Caenorhabditis elegans: one gene and its partners. The main gene of each other region encodes a partner of the protein of the gene in region 4 in a complex. Each region holds a gene or a part of one and is shown on either strand. Other genes may lie near its edges.

Region 1 (5,487 bases), on a different chromosome or scaffold from region 4:
GATAATCTCAAAGTATCCACGACTAGATGAACTTACCGATGCTCCGAAAAGAAATCGAGTTTGTGAAATTATTTGCAATTGTCTGCGTACATTGAACAATTTCCTGATGATGTGGATTCCAACGCCCAATGGAGAAACGAAAACGGCTGGACCGAATGAAAAGCAGCAGGTCTGCAAATTCATCGAAATTGTACGTTTTGGAATTTGAAAAACGATATAAAAATGAATTAAATTATTTCAGGATATTCTGAAAAAACTGATGAGTTGTTTATCATGTGAAGGAATGGATACACCTGGTTTATTGGAACTTCGAAGTACAATTCTCCGATCTTTTATACTGTTACTCCGAACACCATTTGTTCCAAAAGACGGTGTTCTGAATGTTATTGATGAAAATCGGAAGGAAAATTTAATAGGACACATTTGTGCCGCCTATTCATGGGTTTTTCGTCAACCGAACAATACAAGAACTCAATCCACAAAGCAGCAACTTGTTGAACGTACCATAAGTTTATTGCTTGTGCTCATGGAGCAATGTGGAGCTGAAAAAGAGGTGGCACAGTACTCGTATTCAATTGATTGCCCATTAAATCTGCTGAACGGAAATCAAGTGAAACCAACGTTTATTCACAATGTGCTTGTTGTATGTGACAAGATTTTGGAGCACTGCCCGACGCGTGCGGATATTTGGACGATTGACAGGCCGATGTTGGAAGGACTGACGAATCATAGAAATTCAGATATAGGTATGTGTCTCGAAAATGTGTTCATAAATTAAATTACAATGCATTTTTTCAGCTAAAGCCGCGAATTCTCTGCTGAGTCGCTTCCCTGAAAACGACCTTCTTGCTGGTATTTTTTCAAATCGAGAATATTTCTGATTTAATGGATAAATCTGTCAACTCCATCTTTCATCCCAAAAATCCCCGTTCAAAGCCATTAATTCGTCTAGTTGGAAGCTGTTTTAGCGTGTACATAGTCGTATTATTGATTAAAATATGTTCTCTCTTCTTTTCTTCATTTTCTACCGGTCCCAAATTTCCTCATTCTTGACGATTTCATATGAATTCGAGTTTAGAACAAACAAAACGTTCCGATTTTCCTAATTTATAGCACATTTCTTCTCATTTTGCCCTCGGTTTATCTCTTTCTTTTTGTTGTTTCTTTGTTTACGTCTGTAGCATAATATTTTTGAATACAAAACATTTTCGCGATTATCTTTGCATTTTAACTATCAAATTCCTGTCTTATATACGTCTTTCTTCGATGTTCTTACGTTGAATAGAAAATAAAATTATAAAACTTTTTAAATGTTGGATTGATTTACTGAATACTCGGTTCATATATAAGTTATTTAGAGACTATTCTCGTTCTGTAAAATTAACCTGAAATTGTGGAATTGTGATTAAATAATAAATTATTATTTAAATCTCCGCGCAAATGCCCACTGGCGCAAGTGGCGAGTGCTGACGCATCTCCCGTGCACGCGAAACGCGCCAGTAAGGTCTTGCAACGATTTTCTTATGTTCCACTTCCACTTAAATTTATTTCAGCTAAATATTGACCCATTAGCTGTTTTTTGAATTGTTTTCAAAGGGAAAATCGTTTTATTCATTTTAAATTTTAAATAATATTGGAATTTCTGTCTAATTGTGTATCTACTGCTTGTTTGCTTCTTGTTTTGGGATTTCATAATGTCAATTTTGTTTCAGCAATGTCTCGCTTCTTCCATGCTAAGGAGGACTCTGATTCCGACACTTCGTCCAGCGAGGATGAGGTAGAGGATCAAAAAGTGAACAAAAGCGCGAAATTTCGGTAATTATAATCTCCAAAGTAATTCCAAAAGATTGATTAATCTTTCAGCGATGATCTCGATTTCATGGCCGGTCCTGAAGAAGATGAGAAGCGTGTTGTTCGTGCCCAAAAGGACAAAAAATTCGATGAGCTGAAAGGAATTATCAAGCAAAATCGAGATGCAAAGAGCAACAAAGATCTGAACAGACTTCTAACAGGTTTTGATTCTCTGGCCAAAGCTTATGATAAGTCCAAGACGGTCTTTCAACGTCAGAATGTCGCAAATCCAAGATTTTACATAAGGTGAGATATATTTTTAATTTACAGTCACATCATAAAATAAAATGCTAATGAAAACTTAGTAGTTGATATAAAATATTTCAGGTCTCTTGTGGAAATCGAAGACTACGTAAATAAATTATGGGATGATAAAGATGCTAAATCTGCTCTTTCGAAGAACAACGCAAAAGCTCTTCCACCTCTTCGTCAAAAACTGAAAAAATACATCAAGGATCAACAACTGCAAGATCTTGTTACCGATTATCGCGTTAATCCTGACGAGGATGGATATGAAACTCCAGAAGATGAAGACGACGATGATTTTGGAGAGGTTTCTGAATCGAAGGCTGAAAAGTCACCTGGAAAACCATCTGAGAAAGCTGCAGTGAGCGATAGTGACAGTGACAGCGACGATGACGACTCCTCTAACTGGTCTTCTGAACCAGAATCCAATTCTTCTGATGACGAAGACAGTGTGACTAAGATGGAGCAACTTCGTAGGTATTTCTTGAAAAAAGAATTCCGCGTGGAGAGCAAAGATGACAAGAAAGAAAAGAAGAAGAGAGTTATCAGAGTCAAAGAAGCTGTCGAGGAAGACGATGATGCGGATTGGACTCCAGTTAATCGTGAGAAGTCTGTTGTTCACTTTGATCCCAAGGAAGAAGTTACTCATGACGTTATGATTAAGAAACTCAATGAGGTTATGTCGGCTCGTGGAAAACGAACGACAGATCGTAATCAACATGTTGCTAATCTTCGAAAACTTTTGGAGGTATCGGAAGAGAAAGAACTTGGTCTAGGAATCAACGTTAAAATCAGTTTCTGCATAATCTCGGCTCTTTTCGAATTGAACGCTAAAATTAGTGATCACATGGAGTACGAAACATTCATGACCACTCTGCAAACCGTCAACAGCTTGCTCGATCTTCTCATCGGAACTGATCGTGTAAAGTTATCTGTGACATATGCTGAAGAAGATGAAAATCTGAAGGTAATACTTGCATTCCTAAAATTAATAAAAATCCTAATATTTGCAGGATGACACTCAAGAGTATCGCATTCAAGGAAGTATTCTGATTGCTGTGCAAAGATTGGACGGAGAGTTGGCTAAAATTCTTCAAAACGCCGATTGTCATTCCAATGATTATATCGAGAAGTTGAAGGCCGAGAAGGATATGTGCTCACTCATTGAAAAGGCCGAGAAGTACGTTGAACTTCGTAACGATTCTGGCATTTTCGATAAACACGAAGTTTGCAAAGTGTACATGATGCGCATCGAGCATGCCTACTACAAATATCAAGATCAAAATGAGGAGGATGCTGGAAAGTTGATGGATTACTTGTGTAATAAGATCTATACACTTGATGATGAGAAACGATTGAGACAACGTGCTATGCTCTGCCATGTTTACTATCTGGCTGTTCATGACAAGTGGCACCGCGCCAGAGATCTTCTTCTTATGAGTCACATGCAAGCTATCGTTGATCATTCTGATGTCGACACTCAAATCCTCTACAACAGAACTATCTGCCAACTCGGTCTCTGCGCTTTCCGACACGGTTTCATTCGCGAAGCTCATCAAGGACTATCTGAAATTCAAAATACCCAACGTGCCAAGGAGTTGCTTGCTCAAGCTGTTGGAACTCGTCAGCACGAAAAGACTGCTGAACAAGAGAAGATTGATCGTTCCCGTCAAGTTCCATATCATATGCACATCAATGTTGAACTTATGGAGTGTGTCTATCTGATCTGTTCGATGCTTCTCGAAATTCCACACATGGCTAGTTGCGAATTCGAAATGCGTCGTCGTATGCTCAGCAGAAGTTTCCATTACCAATTGAAGCAAAGCGAGAAAGCTTCTCTCACTGGACCACCAGAGAATACCCGTGAACATGTTGTCGCCGCATCGAAAGCAATGTTGAATGGAGATTGGAAAAAGTGTCAAGACTATATCGTCAATGACAAGATGAACCAGAAGGTCTGGAATCTTTTCCATAACGCTGAGACTGTTAAGGGAATGGTTGTGAGACGTATTCAAGAGGAATCTCTCAGAACTTATTTGCTCACATACTCTACAGTTTATGCCACTGTTTCGCTCAAGAAGCTTGCGGATTTGTTCGAACTTTCAAAGAAAGATGTTCATAGCATCATCAGGTATTTGTAATATTTTACTAGACAGTACATAATTTTTTTTTATTTTTTCAGTAAAATGATCATCCAAGAGGAACTTTCGGCTACACTTGACGAGCCCACCGACTGTCTCATCATGCACCGTGTTGAACCTTCCAGACTTCAAATGCTTGCTCTCAACTTGTCTGACAAACTTCAAACTCTTGCCGAAAACAATGAACAAATTCTGGAGCCGCGCACTGGACGTGGTGGTTATCAAGGTCCAGGATCGTGGTTTCCAGGAAGGAACGAGCGGCAAGGAGATAAGCAGAAAGGATCTGGTGGATACCAAGGAGAACGACGTGGAGGACAAGGACAAGACGGAAAGCGAGGAAATTGGGGATCTCAAGGTGGTCAGCAACGTCGTCATCCTCAAAAGCCACGAGCCTTCTAAATATCCATTTTTCAATCGTCTCTCCCATTCGTGGAACCCGCTAATACGCCTTTCATGGCGCCTGCAATTAGTCTCAAAAACTTTTTGCAGGCGCCAATACTTGTTGAATCTTTTATTTAATTGATCAGTTTTTTTGGTAATCCCCCACCCTTTCCCACTTTTCCTTGTTCAGTGTGAGATCTGAACTTTAAAGCTCTCATTTTTCGTTTCCGGTTAGTAGTGTTTAAGTTATACTCTTTCCATACTGTTTTGTTTTTGCTAATTATTTATATTGGGTTGCCGGATATTATTTTAATGAAATATTTAATTTGATTCGTCCAATTTTAAGTAATTTTTTATGAGCCCCGGTTCTGTCCAATCAGTTATTTTCTCAGATCCAACAATAAAAGTAACAAAAAATTAACATAGAATTCATATTTCAGGTTACTGGAAACATAAATTTCGCCTCAAAATGGGTAAAAGGAAGGCATTCATTGATAAGAAAGCCAGTCAAAGTTTTCGATTGGTTCCGGATAATAGGGAAAGAAGTGAACGATTCAAGCCAACTCAAGAACATTTGGAGGAACAGCAAAAGTATGGAGTCTACTACGACGATGATTATGATTATTTGCAGCACATGCGAGCTGTTAATGAGGTTTGTCATCTTAAAATCAATTTGATCAAATACCGAAACTTAAAAAAAAGTGTTTGTTTTTCGATTTTTCAATGAAATCAAAAGATTTTAGGATATGTCAAAAAATAGCTTAAAATTTTGGTCTTTGTACTTCTTTTAAGTAAAAAATTTCTATGTTTTTTTAATCAGCATTTTTTACATTATTTCATAAAATTGAATTTTATGGATGATTAAAAA
Region 2 (5,076 bases), on a different chromosome or scaffold from region 4:
AGCCATCAACTGATGCCAATCTTCACATTCCTGAGCCCATTCCATTGCAGTTCCTCTGTCCTGAGCTTTAACTGCATCACACAATCGTTTCATCCATTCATCAGAAATCTGCACTTGGTCATTGGTTACTAAATAGAGCAAAAAGTGGAAGTTTGTAGCCTGTTCCAAAAATTGATTTGTAGAGAATTCGGATGAATATTGAATCAAATTTGCACCTCCTTGAAGTTGTCCAATTGCTTGTCGATTTTCAACATTAAATTTGGCACTCTTCGATTTATTAGATGTGCCAACGTGGAACGTGTAGTGAGGCTCTTTTGGCATTCCAGCAGGAACATCCACCAGCAAATATTCAACTGGAAGTGGTCGTCCGTTTTTCATAACCTCGGCTCCGTATTCATTTTTCATCGAAAATTGAACATCAGTTATATAATGTTCTTCGGATAATGGTGTCTCTCGAACATAAGCCAATTCAGGAGTGTACAGTGTTGGACAGAGAATATCAGCTTCAACCATGGCCGCACATTGATTTGAAACTTGATATCCGTGGAAATTAACATGCATCGATTCATCACCAGATGCAACAACGGTCACAAATTTGGATCCATAGTGACGATCCATCGAGTACTCTGTGATGTTTGGATGTTGATTTTGAAGCATTGCTGCGGTGATGCATTCCTCAGCTGATAGGAAGAAGGAATCCTGAAAAATTATTCGTTTTTTGGGCTTCTCTTCGAGATTGTTCTCACCTTGTGCCGTGTATAATGTACAGTTCCTTCAGCACTATTAGCTGTCCAACAATCTGTGAAGATCCATCCAACACGTTGCAAGCCAAGCATTTCCAGCAAATTGTCAATAGTTTTTTGATTTTTATCCTCCAAAAACTCAATTCCATCTTCACGGCAGTGTTGTGGAGGTTCATAAATTGCAGCCACTGTAGCCTGAAAGTATGAGCAATGAAATAACTCGTCTCAAGAAATGAGTGATGAAGTACTGAACTTACCTTGATTCCTAGTGGAACTTCAAGGTGAGGCTGATACTGTCCAATTAAAAATCCAACACGCTGATGGCCCGATAGTCTCCAATAATCCAAAAACTGATTTACAAGCTCTTGATTTTCAATTTGAATGTTATCAACATGACGAAACTTTTGACGATTCAATGTTACAACCTGTGGTTTGCATTTAGTGCAAATTCCTTTCGGGAACGGCTTGTGAGCATCACAGTTGGGTTTTAATGAACATCGAAAGTTTTCCAGCGGTTTTTTGAGAGTCGTGCCCTTCCCCTGGGATCCAAGGAGCTTGCGAACATGTGCATGGAAGCTCATATGCTTGATATCTTTTTCTTTCAAATATTCTTCATCGAATGGCTGTAAATATTGATATTAGTTTCTATGAAAACAACAGAAAATATCACTTACATCAACAGGCAAACAATTAGTGCACTTTTGACGTACAGGATGCCGACAGTTGGGCCCTTTTGGACGCTGAATTTGACCATCTTGCGTGCTTAAAAAAACATCAACGTCGTTGACACGCTCAGTTTGAGGGACTTCAATTACCATATCTGAAATAAAATAGATTTTTAAATGCAGGAAGATATGCCTTCTAGGTAGTGAATTGAAGATATATAATTTTGAGATTTTGCAAAAATAATGCAGCGGAAAGGGTATCAAATTAGTTTCCATACATATTCAAACATTAAACAGCAAATGAAATAAAACATTTTGTTTTTAGAATAAAAAATGTCATCAAAACTGCCTAGACAACATGAATGACGAGCAAATGCGTACACAAAAAACCGTGCGGCACTCTTGCGAAATCCCATGCAACGCTTGCAATTTTCTTTTTTCCATCACATTTTCCAATTCCTTTCATCAAATTTTACAATTAAAAAAATGTTTTCTCTTAATTTTAGCGTACCTTTTCGAATTTAGTTTGACATTTAAATAATATCAATATAAAAACCTTCTTTCAGTAATGTCTCGACGCGTGGAATTCGATTTATCCACTGAAGATCACTCTGATCGTCGTCGCACCAACACCTTTTCTTGTAAGTTCACAGAATGCTATTTTTCAGAATTGATGAATAAGAGTAAAATGAGTTGAAAAATGTTAAAATTTGAAACAGTTCGAAAAGACTGAAGACTCGGTCCTTTTTTGATTAACCGATTTATTTTAATTCGGCAAACAGACATTTGGAGAATTTGGTCTGAAATAATTTTGCATAAAAACTGCAGATTAACATTCCATGAGCAAAATACATAAAATTCAGAAAAACCAAATTTTCCAAATACTGTTACAGTGAAGAATCAATGCCAATTCTCAGAACTCCCTCATTGTATATGAAAATGACTACTTTTGTCATTTTCAGTGTTTTTCGGTGTCGAATATCCTCAAATCTCAGATTAAATGAATCACAGCTTTATTCATTTGAAAGAAATAATAAATGAAAAGGTGTTCATAAGAGTTCATAAGAAGTTAATCATTTAAAAGCCCGAGAGAGAAGTTGAGTATCAGAGGATCAATGATCGTGCATTGTGAAATCTTTTCAAAAGAAAAATTGATAATCAATCAATAGAGTAATTCTATAAACATATTTATGGTAGTTATTTAGGTGCTTGTTAACAACACAAACTTATCTCATTTCTTAATTTTTAACAGCTTCAGCCGATGAGGATGGAGTTCCAAATGAGGTCGCCGACTACCTGGTCTACTTTTCCCGCATGGTTGACGAACAAAATGTGCCGGAAATTTTGACTCTCTACGATCAAGCTTTTCCAGATCTCACCGAGAGGTAATATTTAATAATCTCAAATTGTTTTCTATTTATCTTTTAATTTCAGATTCTTCCGTGATCGCATGTGGCCCGATGAGAATGTTGTCGAAAGAATTATTGGACCTGGCAACAAGTTGTTCATAATTCTCTACAAGGAACTCTATTATCGCCAGCTGTATGCAAGAAATACTCGTGGACCACTCCTTGTCCATCGCTATGAGTCGTTCATGAACTATCAAGAGTTATTCTCTGAGCTTCTCTCAAGCAAGGATCCAATTCCATTGTCTCTCCCTAACGTGTGGCTTTGGGATATTATCGACGAATTCGTCTATCAATTCCAGGTAATATTTTTTGGTAGAGTTTGTACGTAATATAAATATTCAGGCATTCTGTCTCTACAAGGCTAACCCAGGAAAACGCAATGCTGATGAAGTTGAAGATCTCATCAATATCGAAGAAAATCAGAACGCGTGGAATATCTATCCAGTTCTCAACATTCTCTATTCGCTTCTATCAAAATCCCAAATTGTGGAGCAGCTCAAGGCATTGAAGGTTTGTTTAATTCAATATTATTTTTTTGCTTTCAACTCTACAGTCGTTCCAGGAAAAACGCAATCCGGATTCGGTCGCCGATGAATTCGGTCAATCGGATCTCTACTTCAAGCTTGGATATTTCGCTCTCATCGGACTTCTCCGCACTCACGTTCTTCTAGGAGACTATCATCAGGCTTTGAAAACCGTGCAATACGTGGATATTGATCCAAAAGGAATCTACAATACAGTTCCAACTTGCCTTGTTACTCTCCATTACTTTGTTGGATTTTCTCATTTGATGATGAGAAATTACGGAGAAGCTACAAAGATGTTCGTCAATTGTCTGCTTTATATTCAAAGAACAAAGAGTGTTCAAAATCAGCAGCCATCGAAAAAGAACTTCCAATATGATGTTGTGAGTACTTTCTAAATTTTTTGCACAATATTTGCACAATAATTGAATATCTAATGAAGACCCAATAATATTCTGCCGATTTCAGATTGGAAAGACGTGGGATCAGCTTTTCCATCTTCTTGCAATCTGCCTCGCCATCCAGCCACAAAGAATCGATGAAAGCATTGCTTCTCAGCTTTCGGAGCGATGTGGTGAGCGTATGATGCACATGGCGAACGGGAATATCGATGAATTCAGAAATGCTTTTGCTACTGGGTAGGAAACGAAATTAGTCAAGTAATTGTATAGTATTGTATTGTTGCAGATGTCCAAAGTTCTTGTCTCCAACCACAGTTGTCTATGAGGGAGTCAACCAATCGAAAGAACCACTTCTTCGTCAAACTCAATCTTTCCTGGAAGGTATTGAATCACAGATGGCGTTACCAGTTCTTCGTGGATACCTGAAACTTTACACAACACTTCCAACTAAGAAGCTTGCGTCGTTCATGGATGTTGATGATGAGCACTATGATTCGTTCATTGGAAAGCTTCTCACTTACAAGGTATATATAAGAATTTCCGATGATCTCGAGTGTTGATGTAATATTTTGAATTTCAGATGATCGTCAATGAGCTTGGCAAAGAAGCCGGACCATCATCAGCAGACGACGATGAGCCACAAACAGATATTGACTTTTACGTAGACCGTGATATGATCAATATTGCCGATACCAAAGTTGCTCGTCACGTCGGTGAACATTTCATTCGACATATTCAGAAGTTGCAAGAGGTTCAGGATGTGCTCAAACGACTCGATATCCAGAAACCATGATCCTTAAAAAGTATTTGAGCTAAACGAAACATGACTGGTTGATTTCCGGTTAATTTCGTTTAGTTTCACACCAACTCCCACTCGTTTGTTAACATTATATCTCTTGTTGAAAATTAAAAACATCTCTCCGTTTATTTATACCACTTTCTCCTGTTGTTGTCTTTTCGTTTTGGTCCTAAACTTCCTTTTTTTCTCTTATCTCCCAATTATTTTGTATCCATGGTTCATAATAAGTTTAGTAAATTTTTTTGGTTTTTCTTATGAAGTTAATTTATGATTGTTTATATTCTACGCTCATCGCAACTACTTCTCAATTTTTTCCGAATAATTATTAATCTCTCTTACGAGTAGTCTTGTATGTACAGTGATAGACTGTACTTTGACCTATAGGTCCATGGTTTTCACCTAGAACGTAGTCTTATGTGTATTCTCCCACTAGTTATGCCTGCGTCTCCAGTCTCGAGGGAAGATAAGTAGAACAGGAGGACAACAACAATCTTTTCCATTGATCCCGATTTTTTTTCCCGTTTGTTTTCAAAAT
Region 3 (4,642 bases), 3.6 Mb from region 4:
CTGAAAATGTGACCGGAAACATCAATTTTCTTTTGTTTTGCTTCACTTTTTTAAAGTTTTCTTCAGTTTTTGCATTAAAATAACTGATTTTTCACAGCTGGAAACCCTCACAAAACCCGGAATTTTCGCTAAAAATAGGCAATTTTCAGTCAAAAGTCAACTGAAATTCTTCCAAAAAACGTCAAAATTTCCAAAAAAAATCCCCCAATTCCAGACAACACATTCAATTTTTGCTAAAAATTCCAAAAAAAAATATCAGCAAACTGACAGAAAATTTTCAAGTTTTAATCAAAATTGGCCAATTTTCCTTTTGAAAAACCTCAACTTTTCGGTTCAAGCTCAGAAAATTAGCTGAAAATCCGAAATTTTCAACTGAAATTTCTTTAAATCAACTCAAAAATGCAAAAAATTGAATGAAAAAATCGAAAACTCAGCCAAAAATCGGCCATTTTCAACTCTGAAAAATGCCAAATTTTCAGGTAAAAATTCCTCAAAACCCCCCGAAATTTTGGCTAAAAATGTCAATTTCCAGCGCATAAAACTTGTAAATTTTCAATCAAAATTCTGAAAAATCCCGAATTTTAAACTAAAATTCCTTCTTTTTTTTCAGAAACAATGGACGCCGTCGTCAACAACATTTTCGACCTCTACGCTGGAAAACGACTGGCAATTAAGCTCGCCACAGACGCCGCCAGCACAATTCTCAAAGTTGATCAGATTATTATGTCAAAGCAGGCGACTGGAGGACCAAAACCACGTGGACCAAAGGCTCAAGATGAGGATGACGATGGAATGGCCTAATTTTTTTGTGTGCATTTTTGCTGAAAAATTGGGGAAATTTGAGTGAAAATGAGCTGAAAATCGATTTTTCAGCGAAATTTTAGACAATTTTCCCCCACTTTTTCAGATTTTCCCCTCGAATTTCCCCGCCGTTTCCCTGGGAATTGAGCTGAAATTGCAATTATCTTGAAAATTCGCTTAACAGTTTTTAGCTCATTTTCCACCATTTTTCCCCGTATTTTTTAAATTTTCCCGCTCTATATGCCTTCTCCGTATGATTTTTTGCAATTTCCCCGTTTTTATTGATTTTCGCTGGAAAATGAGCTGAAAATTCGATTTTTGCTTAAAAATTAATTTTTTTTTTTTAACGCGAAAATTCAGTTCCAAATTTACTCGATTTTGGTCAAATTTAGCTAAAAATTTGCATTTTTCAGCCAAAATTTTCCAGTTTTTGCCAGAAAATGGGCTTAAAATTGTCATTTTCTTCTGAAAAATCGAACTTTTGCCCCATTTTCAGCCGAATTTCAGCCTTTTTCCTCCAATTCTCCATAATTTTTAATGCTATCCCCCAACCCGTTCTGAATCTGAAAATCACAGTTTATGATCTTAAAATTGCGCCTTAAATTCTATAATTTTCAGCTTTTCCCCCTCGAAATTTTGTTTTTTTTTCTCGTTTTTTGCTTCACGTTGTGTTTGTTATAAAATTCTCCAAAAAAATCACAAAAAATTAGAAATTTTAAAGAAAAAATAGTCGAATTTCCTATATTTTTATCTGAAAATTCCCCCCAAAATTTTGTTGTAAAATTTCCACAATTTCAGCTGAAAATGAGCGGCGAAATTGAACGTTCACAGGAGGTGGCGGTCATTTTTGCACAGGATACCGATCACAAGGCTCAATATGAAGCGTAATATTTTTGGATTTTTGAGAAAATTTGGAGCTAAAAATGTGAAAATCTGGAAATTTTTAGCAAAAAATCCCAAATTTTTGTATTTTTCATTGGAAAATCTGAATTTTGTAAATTTTCAGCTGAAAAAATATGAAAAAAAAAAAACGATTTTAGCTATGTAGAAATTTTGAAAAAAAAACGAATTTTCACGCAAAAACATTTCCTAATTTAAAAAATTAGTAAAATTCGCGAAAAATTGAAATTTTTATCTTTTTTTTCCAGAAAATCTGAAATTTTCAAATTTTTATACTTAAAATCTGAAAAATTCTATTTAAAAACTCAAGTTTTCATTTATTTTCTACGAATTTTGAAATGAAAAATTCTTACAAATCCCGCACTTTTTTCGTTCAAAAATTGGAAAAAAACTAATTATTAGCTAAAAAATTTCCAATTTTTGTATCAAAAAACTCGAAAATTCTCAAATTAAAAAAATTTTTTAATTTTTTTGCTGAAAATCACGCTAAAAATTTCAGCTTTTTCACGTAAAATGTGATTTTCTGAAATTTCATGTAATTTTTTAGCTAAAAAGCCGAAATTTTCTCGATTTTCAGACAAAAAATTCCCCGATTTTTGCAGATTGGCGAAGCTTTGCAACAAATATTTGCCACAAAATGCGATGGGACGAGTCGATACGGCGGAAATTATTAAAATCATTGATACAGGTTGGAACACGACGAAAATTTCGGATTTTTCAGTGGGAATCTGGCTAAAAATTACGAAAAATGATGAGTTTTGGTGAAAAAATGGACGAAAATCGCTCAAAATTGGACAATTTGGTTGGAATCTGGCTGAAAATCGATAAATCTCGATAAAAATTGACGGAAAACGAGAACATTTTCGGAATTCCTGTTGAAATTTAGCTGGAAATAAATAAATTACATTGAAAAAAATTTTTTTTTGAATTTTTGGAGCTGAAAATTGGCAGAAAATCCGATTTTTTCAGGAAAAATCTTTAAAAATTTACATTTTTTTTTACAAAATGGACTCAAAATTAGCTTAAATCGCTCAAAAAAGGCTGAAAATTCCATATTTTAAGTGAAATATTTTAAGTGAAAAATATGGAATTTTCAGCCTTTTTCGAGCGATTTAAGCTAATTTTGAGTCCATTTTGTAAAAAAAAATGTAAATTTTTAAAGATTTTTCCTGAAAAAATCGGATTTTCTGCCAATATTCAGCTCCAAATCCAAAAAAAAAAATTTTTCAATGTAATTTATGAATTTTCACAAAAATCCAATTTTTCGTTCGTTTTCTGCAGTTTTGTTTTTTTTTTTTGAAAAGTTAAAAATTTCCTTTAAAAAACGCGAAATTTCCAATTTTTCACGGTAAATGTGATTTTCAGCCAGTAGTTTTCAACCGTTTTTTCGCGGGAAAAATTGAATTTCTAAAGATTTTCCTCGAACAATTCGATTTTTCCGGTATAAAAAGCGACCTTTTACCGATTTTTCACAGAAAATTCAGATTTTGAGCCTTTTTCACCCTCAGAAGCCAAAAAAAACCCCCAAAAATTGGATTTTTCTTGAAAAATTTGAATTAAGAAACTCAAATTTTCAAACCGTTTTTCCACGGAAAAAGTGCGTTTTTCAACGATTTTTCTCGAAAATTCTCAATGTTCTGCGTTTTTAAGCGATTTTCAGCTGATTTTTCACGAAAAAATCGAGTTTTCAGGGATTTTGATATATTTTTCTTGAAAAAATCGGATTTTCAGCTGTTTTTTCCACGGAAAAAGTGATTATTTAACTTTTTTTCCAGAATAATTGGATTTTCAGCCAATTTTAGGCTTAAAATAGGGCCTTTTAACGAAAAATGTGACTTTTAGGACATTTTTCAATTTTTCGCATAAAATTAAATAAAAATGGAATTTTTTTACCATTTTTTTTTCAAATTTTCAGGTTCAAAATAAAGCTTTAAAAAAGTGGAAATTTCTAGTTTTTAGGCTTAAAATAGGCTTCTTAGACGAAGATTTTCAAGCTTTTCGTTAAAAAAAACAGGAAAAAATTAATATTTGTATAAAAAAATTGAATTATCAGCTAAAAATTACAATTTTTGCACTGTTTCAGTGCAAAATTTGTATTTCTTTTAGAATTTTTAGCAGCCTATAACCCCAAAAATGTTTGCAGTAATCGCATTGGAGACTGGAAGTATGGTTGTATCACGTCAATTTGTATCACTTATCACTGAAAGATTGGATAATCAACATTTGGAATCAGAATGTGTTAAGGCTATTTCAGAAGGAATTTTGGCGATTATTAAGACTCGAACCATCTCTTATGAGGATCAGGTACTTGGAAATGCACTGCAACTTTTTCCTCACGAGGGACGAGGAACAGTGGTTTCTAGGCCATGGCCGAGGGGCCGACAAGTTTCAGCGGCCATTTATCTTGCTTTGTTTTCCGCCTGTTTTCTTTCGTTTTTCACAGCTTTTTCCCGTTTTTTCTTATTAAAACTGATAAATAAATATTTTTTGCAGATGATAAAACAATTTCGAAGTAAAAAAATTATGTATTCAGTGGGCAAGCAGCGGTGAAAGTGGGCATTGTAATATGATGGATTACGGGAATACAAAACCTAAATTTTTTCTGAAACATGATACATATGATGCTTAGATGCTGAAGCTACCTGATTTTCATATCAAGACCGCTGAAAAAGTTTTGAGGTTTCCAAAATTCAACTTTTTGTGCGAAAATCTCGACTTTTTCACCAAAAAAGTTGAATTGTGGAAATCTCAAAACTTTTTCAGCGGTCTCGTTATGAAAATCAGGTAATTTCAGCATCTAAGCATCATATGTATCATGTTTCAGAAAAAGGTTAGGTTTTGTATTCCCGTAATCCATCATATTGCATTGACCACTTTCACCGCTGCTTGCCCACTGAATACATAATTTTTTTACTTGGAAATTGTTTTAGCATCTGCAAAA
Region 4 (6,182 bases):
TTTTCGCATATTTTGGTACAATTACAGTCTATAGGCGCACGAATTTCCAATTTTTGTGCACCTATCGACTGAAAATGTACCAAAATCTGGAAAAAAAATGCGGCAGTAACTTCTAAAATGTGCAAAATAGAGAAGGCATGGTTTTTTTTTAAATATGACTCGAATTTTTTAAATTTAATTTCAAAAAGAATTTGAGAAAAAGGAAAATTAACTAAAATTCCCGTTTTCATTAGCAGAATTTTTGGACTTTTCTTCAAAAAAAGGCTAGTTTCTCCGAACTCTGAAAATTAAGAACAAAGATTGGCTTCGTCCGTCAAGTGACAAACATCTGATTATCATCGAAGCGGAAGAGACTAATCTCTTGTCCCTCCGGCTCCACGAGCATCAGTGTAAAGTGAGACGCCCGTGTGCTTATCGCATAACAAAAAAACAAGATAAAGCGACGGATAAATAGAAATAATCGGGTTTCGAAGTGAACAAAATCCATATTAAGTCAGAAGAGTGGGGAACATTTTCTTTTTTTAAATCAACAGTTTATGGGGAAATTTTTCAAGAGAGAGATAGAAATTATAGAGGAGGGAACCAACAAAACGGGGGACTTTCATGGGAAGAAAATACGATAGGGAGAACCAAAAACAAATATATTAAAAAGAACAGCGAAAAAAAAACAATTAGAGAGCCTCGATTCTCTGATTCACTTCATGGACGTTGTTGTGCGTTTGCTTCAGATTTGCGATGAGGACTTTCAGGCGTTTCTGGAAAAAAATCAATTTTTAAATGGAAACCCAACGAGTAAATATTATATACCTCGAGTAGAACCCATTGTTCCGTTCCGAATCTTCTGTGCTGGTAGGAGCTGACGATGAGAGTTCGGGCCATTTCATTGATTTTTCCGGAAATCGCGTTCACCTGAATCGCGTCGATCACAAATTCTTCGAGGGTCTCATCGGCAAGAATGTCCAATTGTTTGGCCAATTCGTCGAGACTGATTTCCTGAAAAATTCAGCAATTTTTATTTAATTCGGACGTTTCAAATGTTATATAGCCAACCGACGTTTCCATATGGGTCTCGCCACGCAAACAACGAGTTACTGTATCGTAACTTCACATTTTTGCAATATGGGTCTCGGCGCGCTAAAAATCCAATTTTTCAACGAAAATTCAACATTTTCGCATTCAAAGGTGTTCAAATAATTTTGAGCTTTCTCTAACTGAAAAATTGTTAAAATTCGAGATTTCGCTCTTTACAGAAATGGAATATTCAACATTTTCCACAAAATTATAGGTTTTTCGGGAGATTTCCTAGAGACGAGTTATTGTAATTTTAAGAGATTATGACAGGTTTTTAACCTAAAAATCCTCATTTTTGGCCGGGTTTTCATTCGGAAAAAGTCGTTTTTTAGTCTTAGAATCTGCAAATTTGCAGTAAAAAAGTGTGAAATTTTGGTTTTTTGTATTTTTACACTAAAATTTTTACGAAAATTGCATGTTTTTAACCTGGAAATCCACATTAATGGATGTTTCTCATCCGAAAAGTTTGCAATTTATAATTTTTAGCTTTACATTTCAGGTTTTCAGCTTAGAAGTGCTCTTGAATTTTGATTGGAAGGTAAATGAAAAATTTCTGCGAAAATAAAAAAAAAACATATAAGCAGTTCGTAATTCGAGCTACAGTAACTCGTTGTGAGCGTGGCGAGACCCATTTTCTCCTCTTTAATCGTCTATGTAATATCATTCGCCAAAGCCGTTATTTAGTCTTAAAATCTGTAATTTTGCAGTCGAAAAACGATAAAAATGTGTTATTTTGACACTAAAACTTTTCCCTTGAATCATAAATTTCAATAAAATTGCTGCCAAGATTTTCGAAACGAGTTACAGTAACTCGTTGTGAGCGTGGCGAGACCCAGTAATATCCAAACGTACGTTCTTCTCTTCAGCAAGCGACATGAGTGTCAAAAGACGGATCTTCTTGAGAAGAATAGTCTCGTCAACCTTCAAGTGCTCGGTGACAAATTTCGGATTCTTGGCAACAAATTCCTTATAATCCTTGAGAGTTCCAGAGATGAACAACTCGAGAGCTGTGAACATCAGTGGATCGGAAGTCTTCAACGCTTTGACTGCACTGAGTCGTTCGAGATGATCAAAGGAGAATGATTTCGGATCGACGACAGCAGTTCTAACACATTCCATAGCATCATCTCGTGCTGCGGCAGCGTCCTTTTCTGTGTATGTTCCGAGAAGTGCAGTCATAACCTGGAAACACTTTTTTAAAGGTTATGAGGACTTATGATTTTGGCGTTTTAGCTTGTATTGACTCAAAAAAAAATTTCGTGATTTGAAAAATTTCTCAAATTTCTACGGCGATTTAAATCTCTCTCGAAAAATTTCGCTAATTTCAGCTAAAATCTCTGATTTGCCAACTTCTCGTGTCCCAACGGTCAGAAATAAACTTATTTCGGTGGTTTTCGGTAATTTTTTGTTAAATTATGGAAACTTCAAATTATGAAGAAAAGGTTCAATTTTGGTCCAATCTTTGTTGTTTTAGACAAAAGTCGGTCCACTTTTTGGCCAACTTTACAGGCCATTTTCAGTAGAAATTTTGTCATTTTTGGTTTACTTTTCGCGCTTTTCGTTCAATTTAGTCATTTTAGCTCAATTTTTAGTGGAATTTGGCCATTTTGGTTCAATTTTGATCGAATTTTGTTCATTCTTTGGCGAAATTTTGGCATTTTTGTCCACTTTTGGGGTTTTTGGCCAAATTTTGAACATTTTGGTGACATCACCCTCAAATGTACCGCAAACAACAAAACAGTGTGAGATAAGAGACCAAGATTCAATAAAAACTGTGTTCAAGCCGCGAGACGGGACAGTTTGCAAAATTGAAGACTTTAGCAGAAATTAAGCAATATTTAACCGCCATAATTTTTTTAAAGGCAGTTTTTGTGTCTAGCTAAGTATAAAAACCGATAGTTCTTTATCAAACCCACCTTGGCAGCCTGATCAACTCTCTGATCAACAAGAAGTGCACGATGAACTGCTCTCAAGATCTCGCGTTGTCCCTCGACTGGCGTCTTCCATGTGTTGAATCTATCTTGAAGAGTCTCAAGATTGCATTCCAGCTCTCCAATGAGTCTTGCTTCAGCGCACATATCAACGAGCGCCTTGAAGATCTTCTCCTGTACAGTATGGAAGTTCGAGTATCCCTTGTACAAATTCGAGAGCACACGAACGGCGATTCCGGCGTGACTAGCCCATCCGGTTCCCTTGTAGAATTGTGGAGCAACATTCTTGATGAATGAGTCGACGACTGGCTCACACTTCTCGCCTGGCACAACGACGATAAGAGATGATATCGAGTTGAGCACCAGATCGACGTCCTGGGACCATGAAGGAAGCACGTTGAGAGTGGAGCAGATTTCGATCATGTTTTGGGCGGTCTCTGATGGTCCTGAAATTTTTTAAATCCAAATTCTGAAGCAGGGCTGTACCGCAAATCTTTTCTGAAAGTTTACGTATTTCCATGGGAGAAATTCTACAAAATGATCTATTGCATCATGTTGTTCTAACATTTTTCATTAAAAATAATGTGAAAACATAGAAAATCACTTTGTTTATCTGAAAATATCGTTGATTTTAGTTGAGAAATGGCAATTTGTAAGCAATTTTCAAATGCTTAAACTAAAATAAATACTATTTAAGGCCAAATCAATTGATTTTATATATTTTTAGAACAATTTAAATTTTAAAAAAAGTGGGAACAACATGGTGCGATAGGAAAATTTTGTAGAATTGCCGTTTCCACATGATATATTCAATTTTTTGAGAAAGAAATTGATACAGAAATGTTGAAAAAGAGTCGATCGACCTGAAAATGATAAAGATCCAAAAAGATTGGATTAATCCATAATTATTATATCGAAAAAATCAGCTTTACAAGTTTTCCGCACCATTTGGATCAAGCTTCACACTATCGTGCTTGTTGAGGTATTGACGGAGCTCTTGGAGCTGCTTGACATCATCAATGTAGGCGAAAACTGGAAGCTCACGAGTGTCAGCCATCTGAAATATTGTACATGCAGTTTAGAAAATATGGAACTGTGAACGAGCAAAAAGGAGAAATGCACATCAAACTTCAACTCATTCACCTTTATTTCGCGGCGCTATCAACCGTTGCGATCTTCTCAATGTGTCCTTTCCGAATCGCTTCCAGCTGTCTCTGGCTTCTTCTCAAATGATGCTCAATGAGCAACAGGTCACTTGGCTCGAAACGTGTTGCAGCGGCGCGGAACTCGTGCCGAATATGCGTGCGAATGCTCGGGTCACGGCCACGGGAGGCGCGCAAAAAATCACGGTAGGTGGAGAGAACGAGCTTTTGAAGTTTGCTGTGCACTACTCCTCCGCTCATGCGAATAGAGACGAGCCGAAAATTATTCAGGAATAAAATACAAAAAATATGCTTGGAAACGAGAAAAAGAGATATAATAAAGCGTAGAGAACGCCGAGAATATGACACCACAAATACAACAAAAAAATGAATATTTATTTTCATTATAACAACTAAAACTGAACCTATTCAAACCCATCGAACCAGCTGGTAACCTCGTTTTCCCCAACAAACAAGGGTGAGATCGGAGGCATTTTCCAGGAAAACGTCTGCTATTGATTCCGATGGAGATCTTTTCTTCTCTCCATTCACTGAAAATGCTCCTTGTTGCATCAAAAGATGACCTTTCCCACTGCCTAGTCGAGATGCGTCCGCGAGTTGGCCCATTGTTGCTACCTGGGAAGAAAAAGAATAAAATCTTCGACAACTAATTTTTTGATGCTTACATTCTCCTTTTTCAAGTCAATTGTTGTTCTGAATAATTGCAATACTTCACTTCTCGACAATCCCGATAAATCAGCCTTCTTGGCTCCAAACATTGCTTTTGTACACCGCATCGCCACTTCTAAACCTTCTTTTCCGTGCACAATTCGAGTAATTTCGGCGGCCAACTCCCTCTGAGCAATCCATTGTCCAAGATTGCTCCTATGATTCTTCAGAACATCTCTTATATGTTCGATATCTTGCAAACTGAAAAGTAACAGAAGCTCTTCCGCTTTGTCATCGTGAAGCTGCGCGAAGAACTGATAGAAATGGAACGGAGACGTCTTCGTCGCATCAAGCCACAGCGCACCTCCTCCTTCAGACTTTCCGAGCTTGGCACCAGTAGAATCCGTCAGAATCGGGAAGCATACTCCTGCAGCGAAGGCTTGATTCATCATTTTCTTAATATAGTGAGCTCCAAAGTCCAGGTGACCCAATTGATCATATCCACCAAGCTGGAATCGACATCCATACTTTTCGGATAACGTGTACCAGTCGAATGCTTGCATTGTTTGATAGCTGAATTCAGTGTACGATAATCCAACTTCCAGCCGATTCTTTATCGTATTCATTCGAAGCATCTTTCCGACTTGCATATTCTTGCATTCTCTCAGGAAATCTCGTAGACTAATCTGAAAAATATAACATTTTCTTTCTCATCATAGCAAGCCGAATGACTACCTTTCCTAGCCAATCATTATTGTTCACGATGATCGGCTTCTCGCTTGATCCCGGCGCGTTCTCAAAAATCTTGCAGATCTGATCTGTTACTTTCCTCGAGTTGTGCATAATTACATCGCCGGCCAGAAGACCCCGTTCTGAAGGTCATGATTTATTGAGTTTTCAGCGCTTTTCTAGGTAAAAACCTGATTTCTTTCCGCTCGGATCTCCAATACTGGCAGTGAATTCTCCGATCAATGCAATTGGACGTATTCCAAACTGCTGTGCACGAATTAAATTGACGAGAATCAGAAGATTTCCAATGTGAAGGCTCTCAGCAGTTGGATCGAAACCAGCATACACATAAGGTGGAAGCTGCCTGAAATTAAATGGATTATTTGCGGAATTTCGTAACATTCACAAGTTCAACCTCAAATCTTCGCTACATTTAGACAGCAGGTCCGTTGGATACGAGTGTTGCAGCTGTTTTCTCGCGTTTAAGTCGGTGATGTAATCCACGAATGAGCTTTCTCTGAAAAAAAACGAAAAATTAGAATAACCCACTAGCAATTGACTCACCGAGGTGCACGTACCGTTTTTAAGGCCACATTTCCGATTCGTTTGCTGTTGAACATTGTGTACTAGCGGTAGCTGC

What was found.
Region 1: cif-1 (region 4) and eif-3.C share a complex: the UniProt entries of both Caenorhabditis elegans proteins name them as parts of the eukaryotic translation initiation factor 3 (eIF-3) complex.
Region 2: cif-1 (region 4) and eif-3.L share a complex: the UniProt entries of both Caenorhabditis elegans proteins name them as parts of the eukaryotic translation initiation factor 3 (eIF-3) complex.
Region 3: cif-1 (region 4) and csn-4 share a complex: the UniProt entries of both Caenorhabditis elegans proteins name them as parts of the CSN complex.

The regions. Positions count from the first base shown.
Region 1 is NC_003279.8:9,975,888-9,981,374, reverse strand, and holds eif-3.C (Eukaryotic translation initiation factor 3 subunit C), read left to right. Parts: upstream 1-1,712; 5' UTR 1,713-1,714; coding exon 1,715-1,815; intron 1,816-1,863; coding exon 1,864-2,097; intron 2,098-2,178; coding exon 2,179-3,064; intron 3,065-3,110; coding exon 3,111-4,228; intron 4,229-4,279; coding exon 4,280-4,637; 3' UTR 4,638-4,949; downstream 4,950-5,487. Other genes in the region: Beta-catenin homolog sys-1, read left to right, coding at 1-190, 242-746, 799-881; T23D8.3 (Protein LTV1 homolog), read left to right, coding at 5,089-5,271. UniProt on the Caenorhabditis elegans protein: Component of the eukaryotic translation initiation factor 3 (eIF-3) complex, which is involved in protein synthesis of a specialized repertoire of mRNAs and, together with other initiation factors, stimulates binding of mRNA and methionyl-tRNAi to the 40S ribosome.
Region 2 is NC_003280.10:5,619,382-5,624,457, reverse strand, and holds eif-3.L (Eukaryotic translation initiation factor 3 subunit L), read left to right. Parts: upstream 1-1,976; coding exon 1,977-2,049; intron 2,050-2,660; coding exon of another isoform or gene 2,661-2,666; coding exon 2,667-2,793; intron 2,794-2,842; coding exon 2,843-3,116; intron 3,117-3,159; coding exon 3,160-3,327; intron 3,328-3,370; coding exon 3,371-3,724; intron 3,725-3,809; coding exon 3,810-3,979; intron 3,980-4,028; coding exon 4,029-4,266; intron 4,267-4,322; coding exon 4,323-4,535; downstream 4,536-5,076. Other genes in the region: npl-4.2 (Nuclear protein localization protein 4 homolog 2), read right to left, coding at 1-699, 747-938, 1,001-1,366, 1,418-1,561. UniProt on the Caenorhabditis elegans protein: Component of the eukaryotic translation initiation factor 3 (eIF-3) complex, which is involved in protein synthesis of a specialized repertoire of mRNAs and, together with other initiation factors, stimulates binding of mRNA and methionyl-tRNAi to the 40S ribosome.
Region 3 is NC_003282.8:1,083,971-1,088,612, reverse strand, and holds the start of csn-4 (COP9 signalosome complex subunit 4), read left to right. Parts: upstream 1-1,599; 5' UTR 1,600-1,605; coding exon 1,606-1,685; intron 1,686-2,303; coding exon 2,304-2,389; intron 2,390-3,844; coding exon 3,845-4,005; intron 4,006-4,642. Other genes in the region: cct-8 (T-complex protein 1 subunit theta), read left to right, coding at 611-801. UniProt on the Caenorhabditis elegans protein: Component of the COP9 signalosome complex (CSN), a complex involved in various cellular and developmental processes.
Region 4 is NC_003282.8:4,706,335-4,712,516, forward strand, and holds cif-1 (COP9/Signalosome and eIF3 complex-shared subunit 1), read right to left. Parts: upstream 4,422-6,182; 5' UTR 4,146-4,421; intron 4,060-4,145; coding exon 3,948-4,059; intron 3,449-3,947; coding exon 2,988-3,448; intron 2,254-2,987; coding exon 1,924-2,253; intron 994-1,923; coding exon 808-993; intron 756-807; coding exon 672-755; 3' UTR 520-671; downstream 1-519. Other genes in the region: yars-2 (Tyrosine--tRNA ligase), read right to left, coding at 4,574-4,780, 4,831-5,499, 5,549-5,685, 5,734-5,906, 5,958-6,059, 6,107-6,162. UniProt on the Caenorhabditis elegans protein: Component of the eukaryotic translation initiation factor 3 (eIF-3) complex, which is involved in protein synthesis of a specialized repertoire of mRNAs and, together with other initiation factors, stimulates binding of mRNA and methionyl-tRNAi to the 40S ribosome.